Caenorhabditis elegans: one gene and its partners. The protein of the gene in region 1 interacts with the protein of each later gene in a biochemical or structural test. Each region holds a gene or a part of one and is shown on either strand. Other genes may lie near its edges. The genes, in order: npr-6, flp-21, flp-3 and flp-4.

The links.
Region 2: of the proteins of npr-6 (region 1) and flp-21, one has a biochemical effect on the other in vitro, tested with the Caenorhabditis elegans proteins (one study listed by BioGRID).
Region 3: of the proteins of npr-6 (region 1) and flp-3, one has a biochemical effect on the other in vitro, tested with the Caenorhabditis elegans proteins (one study listed by BioGRID).
Region 4: of the proteins of npr-6 (region 1) and flp-4, one has a biochemical effect on the other in vitro, tested with the Caenorhabditis elegans proteins (one study listed by BioGRID).

Annotation. Positions count from the first base shown.
Region 1 is NC_003284.9:10,282,258-10,287,286, forward strand, and holds npr-6 (G-protein coupled receptors family 1 profile domain-containing protein), read right to left. Parts: upstream 3,478-5,029; 5' UTR 3,439-3,477; coding exon 3,355-3,438; intron 3,226-3,354; coding exon 3,139-3,225; intron 3,088-3,138; coding exon 2,993-3,087; intron 2,944-2,992; coding exon 2,858-2,943; intron 2,801-2,857; coding exon 2,688-2,800; intron 2,469-2,687; coding exon 2,292-2,468; intron 2,204-2,291; coding exon 2,028-2,203; intron 1,981-2,027; coding exon 1,843-1,980; intron 1,352-1,842; coding exon 1,278-1,351; intron 1,230-1,277; coding exon 1,146-1,229; intron 989-1,145; coding exon 894-988; 3' UTR 562-893; downstream 1-561. Other genes in the region: slc-9B.1 (Cation/H+ exchanger transmembrane domain-containing protein), read left to right, coding at 1-66, 121-252.
Region 2 is NC_003283.11:7,791,509-7,794,536, forward strand, and holds flp-21 (GLGPRPLRF-amide), read left to right. Parts: upstream 1-1,858; 5' UTR 1,859-1,861; coding exon 1,862-1,946; intron 1,947-1,996; coding exon 1,997-2,066; intron 2,067-2,231; coding exon 2,232-2,277; 3' UTR 2,278-2,517; downstream 2,518-3,028. UniProt on the Caenorhabditis elegans protein: FMRFamide-like neuropeptide. Involved in modulating locomotion quiescence during the sleep-like state called lethargus which occurs during molting between larval and adult stages, acting via the G-protein coupled receptor npr-1.
Region 3 is NC_003284.9:10,091,446-10,094,665, reverse strand, and holds flp-3 (TPLGTMRF-amide), read left to right. Parts: upstream 1-1,701; 5' UTR 1,702-1,747; coding exon 1,748-1,811; intron 1,812-1,859; coding exon 1,860-2,057; intron 2,058-2,106; coding exon 2,107-2,283; intron 2,284-2,331; coding exon 2,332-2,447; 3' UTR 2,448-2,720; downstream 2,721-3,220. Other genes in the region: flp-2 (SPREPIRF-amide), read left to right, coding at 1-37. UniProt on the Caenorhabditis elegans protein: FMRFamides and FMRFamide-like peptides are neuropeptides. SAEPFGTMRF-amide inhibits the activity of dissected pharyngeal myogenic muscle system.
Region 4 is NC_003280.10:10,047,309-10,054,957, forward strand, and holds the start of flp-4 (FMRF-Like Peptide), read left to right. Parts: upstream 1-1,559; 5' UTR 1,560-1,743; intron 1,744-7,316; 5' UTR 7,317-7,330; coding exon 7,331-7,480; intron 7,481-7,531; coding exon 7,532-7,587; intron 7,588-7,649.

The DNA of each region.
Region 1 (5,029 bases):
GCTCCTATTTTTGATATTCTTCTCAATCTTGTTGGATCTAAATGTCTCTCTCAATACAATCCACAGGTAGCGTTCTCACTCCCATTTTTGAAATGCAATGTGAAACAAATTTTCATTCAGGATGCGCCGGCAATTGAGAAAAATTTTGACAAAACCTATATGAATGGTGATCATGTTGATGAAACCATCTATGCCGCCCGTCCGAAGACATATTCGGAATACCGCAGTGAAGCTGTTATCGAAAGATATTAAAAATTTACCCAAACTTTTTAGATTTTATTACAATTTTCCTCTGAAAAAAAAAACAAAATAATTCCTAATTTCCCATATTTATAATATTATTATCAAGTCAATTCAAATTCAATTTAAATGACCATAACCAGGAAAAGACATTTCACCAATTTTCCAATTCGATTTATTTTACTTATCCACATCTACCAATTTCCCGTTCCAGCATGTTTTTAAATATGTCATTCTGAAATTTCGTCATGATTCTGTTATACCCTTCTTACTTGAACCATATCTGATCTTATCAACCACACCAGTTGAACCAATTTTTTGTAACCAATATGAAATTTCATTTACAAATATTTTATCAAAATGTGACAAGAAGAAGAAACAAAAGATAAATCAGCATCAAGCAAGATTTGTGCAAATACAGCAGTGCATAAGTTAAGTATAACCACATAGTTTAGATCAGGACAGGTTTGATCAGAGATTTAGCTGAAAAAATCTTAGGAAAGAAAAACAATATGACCAAAAAAATAAAATGTTGAATAAGTGTTTTTATGAAAATTACATATGAAGGCAAGTGGAAAGCGGATAAATGTACTGGCAAGTGACATGACTAAAAGCGACTTTTGTTCTGACTTTCCGGTTTTGTATTGAGCGGCTTAAAGCAGAAGCGTCTGACAACTTGATCCGTTCTCAGGCTCATCGAGATACACGATACTGCGCTGCGGCTCCACTGCAGTTTGAAGTGGACTCTCTGAATCTGTTTCTAAAGATTGCTGGTTTGTTGAAAAGTTCACTGACAACGAGTGCATGCAGGGAATGAATGGCTTCCTATTCTTCGTTGGATGTCGGGTGTAAAAGTTCTTAACGAAGAATAACTAAGGATCAAACAACATAAAAGTAAAACTCACCAGAAATCACCGTAACAGGCTGTTCCTCCACTTTTTTTTTTCGGTTTGCACGTCGAAACGGGTTAGTTATCATAGCGGTGCGTTCTAAAAAAAAAGCTAAGCAAAAATAACTTCAAATTTATCAGGTTTTACCAGTGATGACGCGAATTGGACCAGTTCCAGGACGACGCGCAAACAAGCAGGGAACAACTTTTGCGAACTCCTCACTGAAAATGAGCATTGCAAGAAAATGAAAATTAAATAATTCAATTTATTGAATTTAATTTAATTGAATTTAATTGAATTTTGAACTGTGCAAATTTTTTAAATAATCCTAAATTTACCAAAAAGTGTCTTTTTTTTTAGTTTAATCTGTTTCTAATTATAAGAAGAAACAGTGTCACGAGAGGAAATTTTATTGAGTATTTATAAAAAATAAATTTTTAATAAAATAAATGAGAACTGAACACACAAATGCAGTCTAAGATAAAACTTCTTGACTTTTTATCAATTGTATTTTCTAGCACATGTTTACGTATCAAATTTTATAACTTGTATTTTCAACCTGAACGAGAAGAAAACAACCCCTCGTAATCTTTTAACTGCAATTTATTTTCCAATAAATCGTTGAGTCACTAATGATTATCAATTGTTGTCTGTATTGTTTAAAACGGGTTTTCGACCAGACGGCGGCGAAATGCAAATCCCATAAACCCACCGGAAGGTCTCATTCATGAATGCGTAGAGGATTGGATTCCAGGCGGTAGCTGTCATACTCATCAAATGCACGGAAAGGAAAACAAAACTGAAGTAGCCACGCATGAAATTATCCAACTTGAGATCTCGGAGACAGTTTCTGAATTTATTTCAAATATATGACATATTATTCACTTCTAAACTAACAAGAGGTTGAATGGGAACCAGCAAATTGCGAAGATGACCACCATGACAATCAACATCCGTAGTAAACGCTTTTTGCGCTTGATATCGGATTTTCTCTCGGTCATACTTTGACGGCTATTTAGGAACAACCATATTTTTATGTAACTAATGGCAATGAGTACAAATGGCAAAATGAACTGAAAATTGATTTGTGCATAGGCATAGATATATGTATATATAATCCCCCGGTAATTTATACAAATAATTTCATTGTCCCCAACTCACTTGAAGAATCATCACCACAATTCCAAAAATAGATCGAAATTCGGCATTGCTCCAGTCCTCACTACATATCAGAAAATCACATGGTTCATGAATGTAGTTGAGCTTCATGTTGATGGCATACGGAGTGACCAGAAGCAATGAGCATAGCCAAATGAGGACAATGAACGAAAGGCAAGACTGAATTTGGTATGTACGAAAGTTTCAAAAAAATTTTAAAAATTAGAATTTTTTCCAATTACAAAGTTGTTCTACACCGAAAACAGGAAAAACTATTATTTTCATGGAGGTTACTTTGTTAACTGTACTTCAAAAACACCTTTCTATAGACTAAGAAATGAGAGTTTTGGTTTTTTGGAGTTAGGTTTTTTATTGATACATTGTTCCTGCTCAACTTACTCTCATGGACATTCTATCATTTATATTGATATTTGATGAGTTGTGCACGATCACTATGTATCGATCTATGGCTATAGCCGTAAGTGTCCACGTACTGATGAAGATACTTGTACCTGTATAGTTAGATGCTTGATCACTGCTTAACTTCCCGTCTATATGTAAACCAATACCTTGGAACAGGGGTAAACCATGACACAATCCACCTCCGAATATCCAATGTCCTATTGAGGTGTATGTTGGTGTAAGCCACAACGATCTGAATATAAGAACCGGATATATCACTTCCGATTTCAAAAAAAACCCACGTAAAGTTAACCATTATATCAGAAACTGCGAGATTTGTAATAAAAATGTTGGTGATCGTCTGCATTCGCTTGTTCGTCATCACAACGTACACCACCTTAAACACAGTTGTTGGAAAACTGGAGAAATCGAAAATGATATTACTTACCAAAAAATTACCGGAACTAGCAACCAAAAAAACAGCACAATACATAGAAATAAAGAATGGGCGGAAATATTCCATTTCCATGGGGTTCTGAAACGTGTTTTTTTAAAATAAAAATTACTCGGCTTCAGTTAAAATAATTCATAATCAAATAGTTTCAATGAACATTTTTGATTTTTTTTCAAACGTTCACGAACAATTTTGGACACGAAAACTTACGTTTTTGATTTTACATGTACTTTGATATGAAGGTGTTGTTTCATTTAGTATAGAAGACACTGAAGGCACGAGATCATTCGACATCTGAATCAAATATTATCAGAAATTGGGATAAACGAAGAGCTGAAAATATTAGAATCGGGAGATAAATCGAGTACATTTTAAGAATTGTGAACTGGATATGTTTGGTTGCGATGTGTCTCGTTTAGACCTCTTTAAGTTCATAATATTCTGACGTGGGCGCGGTGGAAGAGTCGGAAATGAACTTGATTTTAAGGAGAAAAAACGAGATTTGACACGTTTCATAGAGCAAAAGATGTTAGAAGTATTTTCAAATTTAAAGCTCCCAAAAGAATATAAAATTGAGAATATGTTAAGTCAGTTATGAAAATTTAATGATATTCGCATCTTTGCAATTGACACTAGAAGAGCGACCACATCTAAACTAGAAATCTACATAGTTCATATAATACAAAACTGATGTCATGATTTTTGAAAAAAAAAATCAATAAAAATTACAATATTAATAATACACTATTAAACAGATTCAATAGAACCCAAAGTTTTCAATGATTTTTTAAAAATTGTTTGTTTTCAATTCTTCTTGTCAATCAAATAAAAAAGAGAACATGAGCCAAACACTTCCCTCATTTTCTTATTTTCTCACTTTCTGTGTGAGACTTGCAATTCTAGACGCGAAAAGTGAATCTCAAAGTGAGAAAAGAGGAGGCGTCGTGAACTTTTAAAAGGGAAAGAATCCATATACATGTGAGAAATTTTCTCTTTTTCGAAATAAGCTGAGACCCTTCTTTTTTCCCTTTACGTTAAACAAACTACATACTCATTTATTTAAAATTTGCCTAAAAACTGGTACGCAAACGCACAAAGCGAATCGAGAGTCCTTTGATTTATGTTATGAATTCATCTTCGATGAAGCGAATTTTGAATTTCCTATAAAAAACAGAAAGAAAGGGTCGAAATTCGAAGAAGAAGACGCTTACGTAAGTTCAACAAGCTAGATTCAAATTATTTGGTTTCAATTGAAAATCAGAAATGAAATATGGACGTGGAGAAGAAATAGAAAAAAGATAATGTAAGGAGCCAATGGATTTAATCTCTCTAAATGGTGGGATGTGAAACATTCATGAGATGTAGGCTACTACGAACCAAGGATAATGTTATTATCTTGATTGATAAAGCTCTCATTGTTGCAAAAAAAAGGACTCGCATAGTAGGTGACCTTTTTTAGAACATTTCCTTTTGATAGTTTCGTCTTTGCCCTTGCCCTGTCTATGTATAGGGTTCATCCGTCTATTCTCTATTTTTCGTCTGGAAATCCGACTCCAATACCGCGGAAATTGAATTTCGACCGGGCGATGAGGGGCACCAGAAAAAAGTCGAGAAAAACTGAAGCACTCCTTGAGGTGGAAAAGGAGAAACGTTGCACATGAACTAAAGTAAACAATTCTGAGAGGGCGGATAAGCTTTGGTGAAACTGAGACAACCAAATACAGCTCAAAATTGTAAGGCAAAGGATAGAAATTGGATAATGAGCGTAGGAAAACATTTTTGAAAACAGAAATCAGAATAAATCGAAAATTAATATAAATTTTAGCTCAAGGAGTATACTTGATGACACAACGAAAATTTTAATGAAACGTCACATTTATCAAAA
Region 2 (3,028 bases), on another chromosome or scaffold:
CAGTCTTCGATATCATTCCTCGAAAAATCACAAATACATATGGTGATGTGAATACTCGTCTGTAATTGTTAGGTGGCCACTTCGTAAAATGCTGATATTTCCAAAACCAAAATATAAGAGATCTTGGAGAAAACGCGTCAAAAACCAGCATTTGACGTGTACCTCTACAAATTCTTTCACCTGCCAAATGTTAAATTTGATCTACTGACCCACTAAAACACTACTTTTTTTGTTACCAATGACAATTTTTATGCGACTTTGACATTTGGACAGGGAAAAGTTTTTCCATTCTTTAGTTTGAAACCGAGTCCAAAAATTACAAAATTTTCAAGTTTTTATGCCTCGCTAAACTCTCTAAAGAAGTTTAACTTTGAAAGTCAATGAGCCAACGAAAATTTGTTTCCTCTTCTTCGATGATGACGAAATGTGCCCCGAAGTAACTCGATAATCGTGGAAATCTCTACTTTTTTCGGCTCATAAAGCTTCTTTATTTCTTTTTTTGGTTTTCATCGAAAACTTATCGTATCAAAAACTACCAACTTTTTTGAATATTTGTAAGACTACATTTTCTCATCACTTTTACCCTCCACCTCATCGTTCATCACATTTATCTTACTCCCACTTGCTCTTCACATCACTTTTGTGGGTATATCAATTGGTTGGTGTTTTTTATGTGTTTGTGAATGTTTTGGGGAAGGCTGTGCAAAAATATCAGAAAAAAGAAGAACCTACATGCATTTTGAGGTGGTCTTCATTGTGACTGTTCCTCATTTGGTTGAGATGTCTGCGAATATTAAAAATCTTAAAGACTTTTTTGACCAAAACAATGTGGTATTAAAGGGGAAAAGAAAGAAGAACGTATGTCAACAGTTTTCCTAGTTCAGTCCTAGATTTTTTTTTCAAATCAACTGTCACATTTTTAAAAGGTTAGATGTGTTGTGGAAATCTCTACTTTTCAATTAAAGTTTAATAACTTTTGGCTGTATCAAATACGTGCATTGAAACTCAACTGTTCTCACCTTAAAGTTTTCTGATGCGTTTACAGTCGGGACCAACTACTTACACTGAAACATGTTTATCTTAATTAAGCGGAGCACACTTCCTTTTATTCAAAAAACCTCATAATGCACAAGACGCTGTTTGCTTTCTTTCAAGACCGTAATTAGACAAAGTCATCGAGCAGTAGATTTTTCAAGTCAGCTATTTTCTTTATTCCAAAAACTGCATATTTGTAATACTCATGAATTTTTCATATTTTATGGTTACTCAAAATCTACACGTCTTTATTACAATCTCTCGTTGAATTATCGCGTAAAATTACATCTTCCAAAATAGGACCATTGTTGTTTTCAAGTCATAGCATATTTTAACGCGATTTCCGGCCACCTCAACTATGCTCTGCAACGAGTATGACGTGCCCAATAAATATTGGGCTATCCTGTTTTCCCACCACATACACCCTCCTCATAGTTCCCAGAAAAAACTTTTACCGGAATCACGTATACATATAACATCATCTTACCTGAAAAAACATTTCGATGTATCATTTGCCTAGGTTCTAGGATGGGTGGTTGCTCTTGGAGCAAAGGTCATTTTTGTGAGTAGTCCAGTAGATTTGGAAGGGGATACACTGAAATATTCATTTCTTGTTTCAAAGCTACCGTAGTGATCACTTCCGTCTTACTATTTATCTCAAAACTTCTTTTTTTCCACCCCATCCCATCATGCTTCGCAAGAATCTCATTAACAAATGCAAATTTACAACGATGACTATGTACACTATTTAAGATTTGATTGTGTATTCAACGTTTGATCTCCCACCCTCTCATTGCTCCAAAATCCAAAAAGTCATTTTCAGACGATGCGGCTGTTCATCTTGCTTTCGTGTCTTCTCGCGTGGGTCCTCGCAGCGCCTTATATCGATCAGGAAGATGCGCTCCGCGTTTGTAAGTTTTGTCAAAGTTAAAGATTTAGATTAATCATTAATCTTTTTCAGTGAACGCATATTTGGAGCAATTCGGACCCGGCAGTGACAGAGTTTACTATGTTGCCGAAGACGATCATGGGTAGGTCCAGTTTAATTATTTTCTGATAGACATCTTTATTAAGTCAAGTCTTACTGTAGAATAAGTTGCAAATCGCTATAATTAATAATTTACCGAAATACGAGCATTCAGCTAGAATAAATTAGTTGCGATTCAGAAAAAAGTAAACTAATTTTAAAATTTCAGATCAATGAAACGTGGTCTCGGTCCTCGTCCTCTCCGATTTGGATAAACGGTTGCTGCTCGAACGAACGAACAACATGACACAACATTTTCTCTCTTTCCTCTCAATGTAACTTTATACAAAAATGATGTTCCAGACACTCCACAATTCCAATTCCGAAGAAATATCTATCCTCTCCTTTTCTCTTTGAAAACGCTGCAGAAACAATGTTCTTTTTACTCTCTCTCTCTTTTTCTATCTCACTTCCTCTTTTTCTGTTGAACAAATAAAAACAGCTTTCAGTTTGACATTTGACTTTTTATTAAGTTTATGAGTGCCCTTATATTTAAGAATTTTCCAATTGTGCAATTGTACCCTGCAACTGTAATGGTAGAATCCGGGAAAATCAGTCAGGATTACATTAATGAAACAGTTGGTGTCTTCCCTGCAGGGGTTGAACAAACATTATGGATACTGTTTCAAGGATCGTAGTTGCCGTAATAAATCCATTGAGGCGTCTATCTCTTGAATTTCTAACATAATGTGCCGACTATATAGTAATAAAGCTCCTGAAATTGAGTTTTGGGTGCCAATTTTGTAGTTTTGTGGAAAGTGTAATGATCGTTGAATTTTGGTTTTTGATGATTTTTAAGAACATTTTCCGAGAAATTTCGTATGGCAATTAATACATGGAAAAAATCAGTCCTAGGGATTTTATTCACAATAAAACCGAGAATTCCCTAGAATTGAAGATAAAGTAGTACTTATACATAGTTTCCTACCAAAGCCGAGCCGATTGCAAAAGTTTCGAAAAAATAAA
Region 3 (3,220 bases), 190 kb from region 1:
ACGATTCAATCCGCTGCCAGATTACGACTTCCAATAACTCCATCCTATCAATGATTCAATGCACGGTGAACCCCACTACTCAGCCAACATCATATTAGATATTCCAACATTTTCTTCCCATTCTCGTCCTATATTTTGATCCGTACTTTCAATGCAACAACATTTTTTAAACTATGTTTCCTATAACTTCGAATAAAGTGGTTGGGTTCCGCATGGAATAATAGCCCATCTGTTAACCAAGTCTTACGTTTTCTTCGCGAACAAAGGAAACGACTACTGGCACTGAATTTCAGATTTTAGCCAGATTAGGTCAGAAAACGAGGCACACTATTTTCAAGATCAAAATTTTAAAATTCAGTCTTGCTAGTTCTTCAAAGAATTGTTTCGGAAATGTCAATGAGTGCTCATAATTAAACATGTGGAGTGACTTTGGAAGGTGCTAGAATTTCCAAGAAGCTTTGATTTATTAGTTTTCGTTTTAATTTCAAAACACTGTTCAATCTTGAGAACAAGATTAGTTCAACCTACTTAATCATTTCTCGCGTTCTGACAAGTGACGTTTTTGACAAAAAATAATGTTTAATTATTCAAAAACAGAAAATCCCCCCTCCTTAAAGCTCAGTTCATTAATCAGCTTCGCTTCACAAATTCGACAAGGTGGCATCTCAACCAACAGGCACCAATCGGATTCTGTCATTTCTTTCTTTTTTGAGAACAAATGTCTATCTACGTTTTGAACTAACACCAGTCCCGGTTTAAATTTCGTACCTGACAATTATCAATCAAGACTTACATTTGACTAGCTGTGCACGCAAAGATTTAATAATTGGCGGTGGGCTGTGTGAGAGTTGATGTCACAAAGTTACAGTATCCCATCAAAAAAATGGGTTCGAGTCGTCATTCTCGTTATCCATCTAGGCTTGAATTATGATGTTGAACATCAAAATTTATAGGTTTTTCGAGAGATCCCACCTCTTCCGTTAACCGCCGCCCCGTTTCAACACAATTCTTTCAGTTTCAAATTATTAACCTGAACTTTGAAAACTACCACCTACGCTTCTTCTACTAATTTCGAGTGTCTTTTTAGACTCAATTATCTTATTTCTTTTCTTAGAGTATTCCAAAAATGTCACATGACGATGCATAAATTGAGGTGCCACCGTTTTTTAATAGAAACTCTGGCCGCAATAAAAGAGCAATAGCATTGTTACTTGGCAATTTGTTTGAAGGAGTGTTGGGCGGCGGTAGACGTCGTACGTCAAATCGTGCATTTTCGAAGTCTTTTCTCGACACAATAGTAATCGTTTGACCTGTGCATTGCAACATCAAGGGACCACTTACTTTTTAGAAACCCGCCCCTTTAAACCAAATTGCCAACGCCTCCAATTTTTACCTGACAATAGAATGTACCGAGTACTTATTAAACAAAGTTGTTCGCCAAAGCTCAGATTTTCAATAATTTTTGAGCACCGGATTTCAATTTTACTCGTTTCACATGAACATTTTTCTAACTGCACACAGTATTTACGCATTCCTGACCAAATTTCTAAAACCCCACACACCTCTTCCGGCATGACAACTGAACCGTTAAAATTGTTGAAATTAAGCTCATATAAAAACATGCAAATATCTCGGCGGTTCACAACCTCACTTCTACTTCTTCTTGACTAAATTTTCCGTAACTAATTGTTATATTTTAAGGTACCCCTTGTGTGTTAGCTCCCGCGTAACACCACCATAACCACCAATGATATCGCCCAATCACCTCATCCTGCTCTTCTGTGTGAATTGCGCGTTTTTGGTAGCGTCGGGTAGGAGAATAGAAATTATGTTTTTGAAATAGAATGAAAAGTATTTAGATGCCACACCAAAACGGTCTCCACTGGGAACAATGCGCTTTGGCAAACGAGCCATTGCTGATGAAATGACATTTGAGGAGGATGGATACTATCCGTCAAATGTAATGTGGAAGCGGTCTACTGTTGATTCTTCGGAGCCCGTCATTCGTGATCAGCGCACTCCATTGGGAACTATGCGTTTTGGAAAACGAAGTGCAGGTATTATACAAATAATTAATTTTCAAAAACTATACCCACCTGTTTCCAGAGCCATTCGGTACTATGCGTTTTGGAAAACGTAATCCTGAGAACGACACACCATTCGGAACAATGAGATTTGGAAAGCGTGCTAGTGAGGATGCTCTGTTTGGAACCATGCGTTTTGGAAAGAGAGAAGACGGTAATGCGCCATTTGGAACAATGAAATTTGGGAAACGTGAAGCAGGTATACAGTTCTGTACTAAAGTTTGATTTCACAATGTTATGCTTTTAGAAGAGCCACTTGGAACTATGCGCTTTGGAAAAAGATCAGCTGACGACAGTGCTCCATTTGGCACAATGCGCTTTGGCAAAAGAAACCCTCTTGGAACCATGCGCTTTGGAAAATAATTTCTATTTTCACTTTTCACGTTTATATTATTCTCGCTTCAACTAAGTTTTCATGTTCAACACCCCCGCAGCAGTGGCACTCTCTTTTAACATTATTTATCATTCTGGCTTCTAATTCATACCAAAATATACCGAAACGATTGCATAATTCTTGGGCTTTTGCAAAAAACTAAGGAAAAACGACTATTCCATAATACCCCCTTCTCTGTTCTTCTCATCAAGTGGTTTGCATAGATTGGAGAATAAATTAATGTTATTATTCACTTTGTTAAATTTTGTTGTTAGTTGTTCACGCTTGACCAAAATAGTTAGCTAGCAAACTGTAAGATTCTCAAATTTAGTCTTTGCTTTTGATGGAGAAATTCTCGAACACAATTTCATGGTTCGCTCGTCCGCTTTCATCATCCGATTGGCCAAAACTTCCGGTGTTTTCCCCTTTAGACACTTGAAAACAAATATGAATTCGAACATTTCAGATGTTTACAGAAGACCAACATGTGCCAACCAATGAATGCGTGGAAACTGCCGGCTTCTTAAAGAAGTTTACTCAGCCTACTCACAATAGAACTATCACTAAAGCACAGAGTCAAGGAAAAAAATATTATGGATGAACTGCAAATTAAAAATAAAACGCTGAATGTTCACAATAAACGCATATTTTCCCTTTTCTGCTTATTCGTTTTGTTCTTATTCTGAACAGTCATCGTTACTAGTTCACAATGTTATCTGTTGCTTCATTTTTTGTATATTAAAAATGGAGTTATAAAATGCAG
Region 4 (7,649 bases), on another chromosome or scaffold:
AAGCCCCTTTTAGAATTGCACAGCATTCTTTCAGATTTTCAATAATTTAATAATTTAAAATGACGATTTCGTCTTGTTTTGCACTACTTGTAGTATTTATAGTGCTTCCCAAATATCTTGAAATGTGTAATTGAAAGCCTGCGGGTTTAATAGAAAATTAAGCAGCATTTTTCTTTTTTTGTAGATGCTTTTCAATTTTTTTGGATTTTGTGGAGATGTTATGTTCTTTAATATTTATTCAAAAAAGGAGACAACTGGTAAAGTTAAATTTTTGCATCAAAACTTTTCCGAATAGATCTGTGGTCTTTTTTGGTAAATTGCCGAGTTTTGGAAAATTATAAAATTACCAAAGTTATTAGAAAAATAGTCCAATACGAACAATTTTTTTGATTTTTCATGCCCCAATCCGGAGCCCACACAAATACTTTTGAACTACATAACCATTTCCTCAATTTCCCCACGTACAAGTGGTTGCAAATTGTGCATTTCCTTCTCCTCCGAGCAGAAGATTGTTTGGATGAGTTGTCTGGATTATTTTTGGATCAGGAGCAATTTTCTGTTTATTAAAGAAAAGCGCAGAAAATAACACGAAAAAAAAGGCTTGATTTCTTGGTTCTTATTTTGTGCATGTTTTAGCGAAATTGCAAAATGTTGACCGATCTGATTTTCATAATTAGGAAAATGTTAAGACTTACTTATCTTTAGTGATTTCCCGAGACCTACGGATTCGGATTTTATTTTTGCAAAAAAGGAAAGTAAAATGAATAATTTCAATAATTCATTTAACTGTCTTTAAAAAATTTGAGCACTTGTTCCAATATTAAAAGTGTTCTATCATTTGCGGGGTTCCCAAAAAATCCTGCTATTGTTTTTTGTGGGATTTAAACTTTTTCAGCTCTTCAAATCAATAGGCTATTGGTGCATATATTGTCTTCTGACGTTTTTTTTCAGTTTCTATATAAAATTTTTGTACTTCCTTCTAATTTGACAGAATAATTCTAAAATCACATATTTGAACTGTGGGCGCTGAATTTTTTTGAAGAGCATGAATTTGAACCCGCAGCGACGGGTCTTTATTTTACAATACAGACGTTTTCCAAAGTTTCCCGGTTTTCCCCGAATATTCCAAAAGTTTCTAGAGTTTCTAGAAGGTTCTCAACCTTTCCTAAATTTTCTAAAATAAATTCGAAAGCCAACATCTACGCAAGATAATTTTTCAGTCGAACTACGGTAGTTTTCAATCAACTTTATCTAAAAATAGCCGAAAACCCCCATTACCTCCTAGTTTGGTATTCCAAAAGATCAAACTTATTGGGGTAGTTGGACCCCCATCCATCTTTTGGCACGTTTCATTCCCGAAGTTCCGTCATAAATTCGATGTCCCCCTCCACCTAATCATTGATTCGTCATGCCTTGTCAGACAAAACCCACGTCTTCAGCTTTTTGGTCGTACCACAATTTTTTCTCCAATGATTCCATCATCATTCCTCATTCCCCAGCTCGTAAAGAACTCAATAAAACTGTCCTCTTCTTCCTCAACCCATTCCTACTTATTCTACATATATTCCAACTTCCAGTGTCCATTCCATTCTCCTTTTTTGTGCTGTCTCCTTATTCTGTTTCCTTTTTTCCCCTATTCAACATCATTCCAGTCACATTCATTTGATTGCGCACTAGGCTCCGCCTGCTCACGCCTTTCTTCGCAAATTCATATTTGGATCTCAATATTTCCGCAAAAAATTGGTAGGTTTTTTTTCGCTTTGACATCAATAGATCTAGTTGACGTGAAAAGCAAACTGGCAAAAATGTTCTTTGAAATTCATGAAATTTGACAAAAAGTTTTGGTCTAACAGCAGTATCTTGAGGCCACAATGGAGCATAACCAGAAAACGTGGTGTATCTGACTGTTTTTTTTTCTGGAAAATCTTCAATTTTTTCGAGGAACTTCTTGAAGATTGTTGTTGTTTGGTTTAGTCTACGTGACCATTTGTAGCTGCCATAGTTATTTTCATTTTTCGTTTCAGAAATCGGAAATTGGTTTTGCTTGAAAACTAGCGAAAAGTGGGCGTCAAACGATTATTACTAAACACATATTGTTGATTAACTTCTAGAGTTTTTATTGGAGTATTTGACGTTAGCCATTGCAACGTCATTCATACAAGTATTTATATAAGACAATGTACATTTTTTCGTTCATAATTTTCTTGAGGTATGTCTAGTGTCTAGTGTATCAAATTTCTAGATATGTATTGTGGATCTAAATTTAGGGTATCTCCAAAGAGTTATACAAGGTTGTTTTCCAAATTAGCACCTCTAAATAATCGAACCTACATGATTTGAAATTGCTTTAAAAAAATTTTTTGTTTGAAAATTTACCAGTTTTTCAAAACATTTACTAAACATTTATTCAATACAGTAATGCATTTCAAAGCTTTTTATGACTTGAAAAAGCTATAGAGTACATAAATCTAAGCCCAAAAAAAAAACCGCAGACTTGTTTTTTATAAATTTAAAAAATCTTGAATTCAAAACACGTGTTCAATTTTGGCTTCTTACATGTATTGTTTTTAATAAATGTTCCGATGAAATCTGCAAGCCGATTTACTAGACTTACAAGAATAATTTCTGACTATTCATTGTTAATCTATAATCTTCTTATCATGTTACATATTATCTAGTTAGTCATTTTCTTGTCTTGTTCTGTTTTCAATTTCACTCATTTGCTCTCATATTTCTTTTTCCTGAATTGAACCTTGGACGCTCAAAAGCTAATCGAAGAAAAATTGCCGAGATTCGGGAATTTTGATTGATGTTGTCGAATTAGTTGTTGCTTGTTCGAAAGTGACAACATCAGACAAAAACACACACGGATTTTGAATTATTACCTATCCATGTTCCTTTGATTTTCTATTAAATTGTCCTTTAAGGTTTCAAAAATGTTCGGAAAACGTAGGTGTAACCTGAAGAGTTAGGAGGAACGTCTATTTATGGTCCATCCAAAAATAGTTGTTGTTATTCAATTTGCGGCACCGAATCTTCAGATATTCGAAAGTTAAGAAAAACAAGAAGTTAGCTTTTAGGACTGAAAGACAGCTTCCTGCAAAAATGTTCTTCTTTTTATGGAAACTTGAGAGCCAAGTTCAAAAGATGAAAAGTTAAGTGGGCGTCTTATTTGTGTGGGCAAAAGAAACTGTAAATACATTTTTAGATTTAGTATATATGCAGGACTACTTTTCTTTCTTGTTATAGTTCTTGTATAGCATCGTCGTATGCACGCACGTCTTCAGGAGTATGTTTTGTATTCATGTTTTTACAACTTTGGCAGTAGTCATGACATATTTCCAAGGAACGTAGGTTACCTTGAAGGCAGGCAGAATATTTTCAGCATAACATGGAAGATTTAAGTTGTTGTTGAATTACGTAGACAACAAAATAACATTTTGAGAGTTCTTTCTTTGCTAATTGTATTTACGTCTCCTATAAAAATTGAGCATAGAATAAGATCATTCGTTCAGATTTTCATGCTTCTTGGATCGACTTATAAGTGTACCTTTATATTACGGGCTACAGTAAAATTTCCTTCTTTTTAATTCAAAATCTTCATTCAAACATCTAGCTGCTACACAACAGGGGTGTGAATCAAGGGCTCGAAAACTGGAAATGCCTGATAAATATTTTGCAAATTTTAATATTCCGATTTGGAAGTCGCGTAGTAAAATGGTTTTCAAGGAGCTTCGAGGTCTTCAAATGTTCTTTTTTTTTAGAATTTCAAGCTTTCACGCACTTGATTTACACTCCTGCTCCCTGACTCCATGACTGTTTGATGAGCTCTTTTGAACTTTAGTGGTTTCTGGCTTCTTCAATAGTCCAGACGTAATAAAAAGTGTCCTTCTTTAGAAAATTAAAAGTTGGAATACTTTCCTTAAAACTATGGGAGAAACTTCTCTTACTCTGAGAATTAAGAAACTGTTTATCACTATTTAAAATTCCAGTTGAAGCATCGTGATCACAAAACTCAGAGCTTTACCACAAATCCAGAAAACAGAAAAGAGTTCTTGAAAATTATAAAATCTTTACGTGGGAATCTGAATACGTAGAGAGCTCTGGAAATTTACTTCCAGATAGGAATTTCTATCATTACACCGGGAAAAATATATCAAAGAACCACCATATTTTTTTATAAAACTCTTCAAAATGTAGTACGTGACTGTAGCCCAACTACTCAATTAATTCCAATTGCGTCATTTTTCCAAAAAGGCATTTCTCAAAATTTTCTCAGGATTTTCCTTTTCAATCCATCATATTTTCCAATTATTCTCAGATCAAACCACGCACCATGACAATTTTTCCACATTTTCCAATCCAATTTTTAATCAAACTGATTCTGATAACTCATATCACACCTAATAAAGTAATTCTACACCACGAGTTTGTACGCACAAATCTACAAATTGTGACCAATATCCAGTGAATTTCTTAGTATTTTTGCATGCATTTTTAAGCACCTCCAACTGTTCTTCACATTTCTTATTATTCCGTTCTTTTTCTTTTTTCTCTGCTGGGACACATTTTCAGCGCCGTGTGACGTCATATAATTCATTGAAATTTTAGAGTTTCAATGTGGTATTAGAATTAAATGTATTTTTGCTGTACAAAGAATATTCATTTTCAAAATACTTATTAGGTTTCATTATGCCACACTACCTGACTGATCATCTGTTACAGTTACCTATGTGATGAGTTTTCGTGATAGAAAATCCGGAAAAAGACACGGATGTGATTTTTGACTATGCTTAATCCTGAGAGACATCCATTATCGCAAACAATAGAACCTAAAAGAAAAATTAGAGTTTAAGATAAATGTTAAGGTTATTCAAAAAATAGACTTTTGATCTTATTTGAAATGGCATGCGGAAGAAACTATGAATGAACGAAGTTTATGACAAAGATCTGAATCCTACGCAGTACGATAATTTTCCTGAACGAAAAACAGTAGAAAGCTTTCAAATGAAGAACATCCAAGCACATACTGTTCGCGTTATTTTACTTTGAAATGATCTCTAAAGGCCCCCAAAATGCTTACCTGCGTGCCTCTTGGACATTTTGTGATAGTTTCGATGATATGTATTTTTGTGCCTATGAATAGGCTAGGTGATAGATTTCCTTGTTTTAAGACAAACACTTCCAGCAAGCTTTTGAAACTAGACTAAACTTATCACAATTCTAATTTTATTCCTAAGATCGCATTGTCAATTCACTTTCCGAAGATCATCTCGTCCATTAAAAGATTATTCTTTTTCACAGTGTAACCTAAACCTTGATTCATTAAAACATGAAAATGTAAGCAATAGATTAATATTAATCCTAATCTTAGACTAAAGTCTGATATGTGTCGTAATAATACCCCTTTGGTATTTAGTTAAGGTTTTTTGAACTGAAGGTTTAAGTATAAATACCTAAGAAATCCACTCTTACAACATTAGTTTCAGCTTTTGAATTTGGCAAAGTGGTGAGTTCAACTTTTGACTCTGTCTTATTCATTAGAAGTTTTATTCTCCATTTTGAAAATCTATCAGCTTCTGAAATCTTATCAAAATCACTGAATTCCAGCAATTATGGAGATCAATTGACAATCTACATACATGAATAGGTAGGCATTTTTTGCCTACACTCAACAAAGTTTATGACCACGTTCGAGACAGTAAATAGGTGATTTACTAATTGAAGTTAACCCGTCACTACCGTAACCCTAGAGACCAATAGATATAGACACAAACTAAAAACCAAAGGATTATATTTCATTGAAAACCAAAACGTCTGTAATAATTTCTTTAGACACATAAAAGAAGCTCGACTAAAAAATATTAGTTATTTTAGAAGCTTAAGTCTATAATTAATCCCTTCCGAGGAGGTTAATGTGAGTTTGAAGTTTTAATAAGGATCTTTTATAAATTCGTATTGTTTACAAACTTATAATTTTTGATCCATCGGATAACAGAACATGGATTCAACGCATAATATCTGAAATTGACAAGTTTGAAAAATTTGGCTGGCTCTAAAGATTTAGTTCTGGTGTTTTTTCCAGCTATCCTTTAAGCTTCAGAAATTTGTTTGGAGAACCATTGATTTTTGTTTAAATTTCATAGAACTACTTCTAACGGACCACCAGCATAATTTTGAACCCTTGACGTCAGACCACACCCACATTTCCTTCTTTTCCAACAGAAATTATGCAAAATTTGAAAGTTCAAGAGACTTCACCACTCAAATGCTCATATCGGGTGTCCAATCAGCTCGTATAATGTTCAGAATAGTTCTCATGTTTCATTACTTATTATAAAAAAGGTCTTTCGGTCTTTCACTTCTTACGTGGGGGCTCAATGTCTTCCAGGAATCGGGCGCACCGGTCTTGATGTTCTCCGAGATATTTCTTTGCATTATTGATACGTTTTTTTAAATTTTCTTTCTTCTCTCTTTGACGTGCGTTTTTGTGTCATTGGATATTTAAATAAAATATTACGATTAGCCAATAAATAGTATTTACCGTATTTTTAATTAGTCCCAGGGTGAACAGTATAAGAGAATAATTGAAAACTTTTTAATCAACTCAATGATAATTTAGAATAATCCCGATCAATTTTCAATCTCCAACCTTTTCCGAAAACTATTCCACACGCCTCATTGCAGATGTTTTTTTTTGAGAATTGAACCAAAATGTCTAGATAACAAAAATCAGCTTGCACAGGAAATATTTAGCACGTCAAAGTTTTCAAAAATTACGTCAAAATGTTGAAGATGCGTCAGTTGAGAAACATTGGTGATTGAGTTTTTGAATAAAAGGCTTGAAGTTTGTGAAAACGGATGTGCGTTTTTGTTTTTTAGGAAACCTATCACTTTTAGACACCAGTGAAATGTTATTTCCTCTATTTTTGGAGAATTATTGAAGTACAATTGTTTCATGGTATTTTCCAACTGAACGTCAATTTTTTTTTAAACAGGTAAACCAGAAATGCCAAAAAAGCAACCAAAAAAAGTGTTCGAATTTCGTTTTCAGGCGAAACAAAAATTAAAAAATTTTGAGCTGGGTGCGGCCAAACTTTGGGCAATCCCGGTTTATTCACCCTTTGTTTAAGTTAATATTGATAAATTACTTGTCCTCTAATTTTTTAATCCAACCATTATCAACGTCACACTGACTCCACCCCTTTATCAATTGTTCTCCGTTTCTTTTAAAAGCACCTGCTCAACCTTTTCGTCGCATAATTTTCCGCTTCAAGCTCCCCCTTCCCCTTCTTCATTATTTCTGCAATTTTCAGACAACTACAGCGACATGAACGCCTTCTCCTCTTCCCTTAAAACATTCATCTTCTCCTTGCTTTTTGCCACGTTGCTTGCACTCACAGCAGCTCATCCACCGTCATCTGGTGAAGAAATTGCTGAGCAAGAAGAGAAGAATATTGCAAGTCCAGATGAACTTATTGTAAGATTTTTAAAAATTGAGAAAAGTTATAAAAATAAATGAATGTTTCAGCCGGAAATTGTCGAGCAGCAAAACTTCTGGCCACCAGTGCATCTTCGTGGATTACGGTAAGTAGAAAAATTGCCTTGCGCCTAGTCTTCACATTTTTTTAAATTATAAGATATAAGTT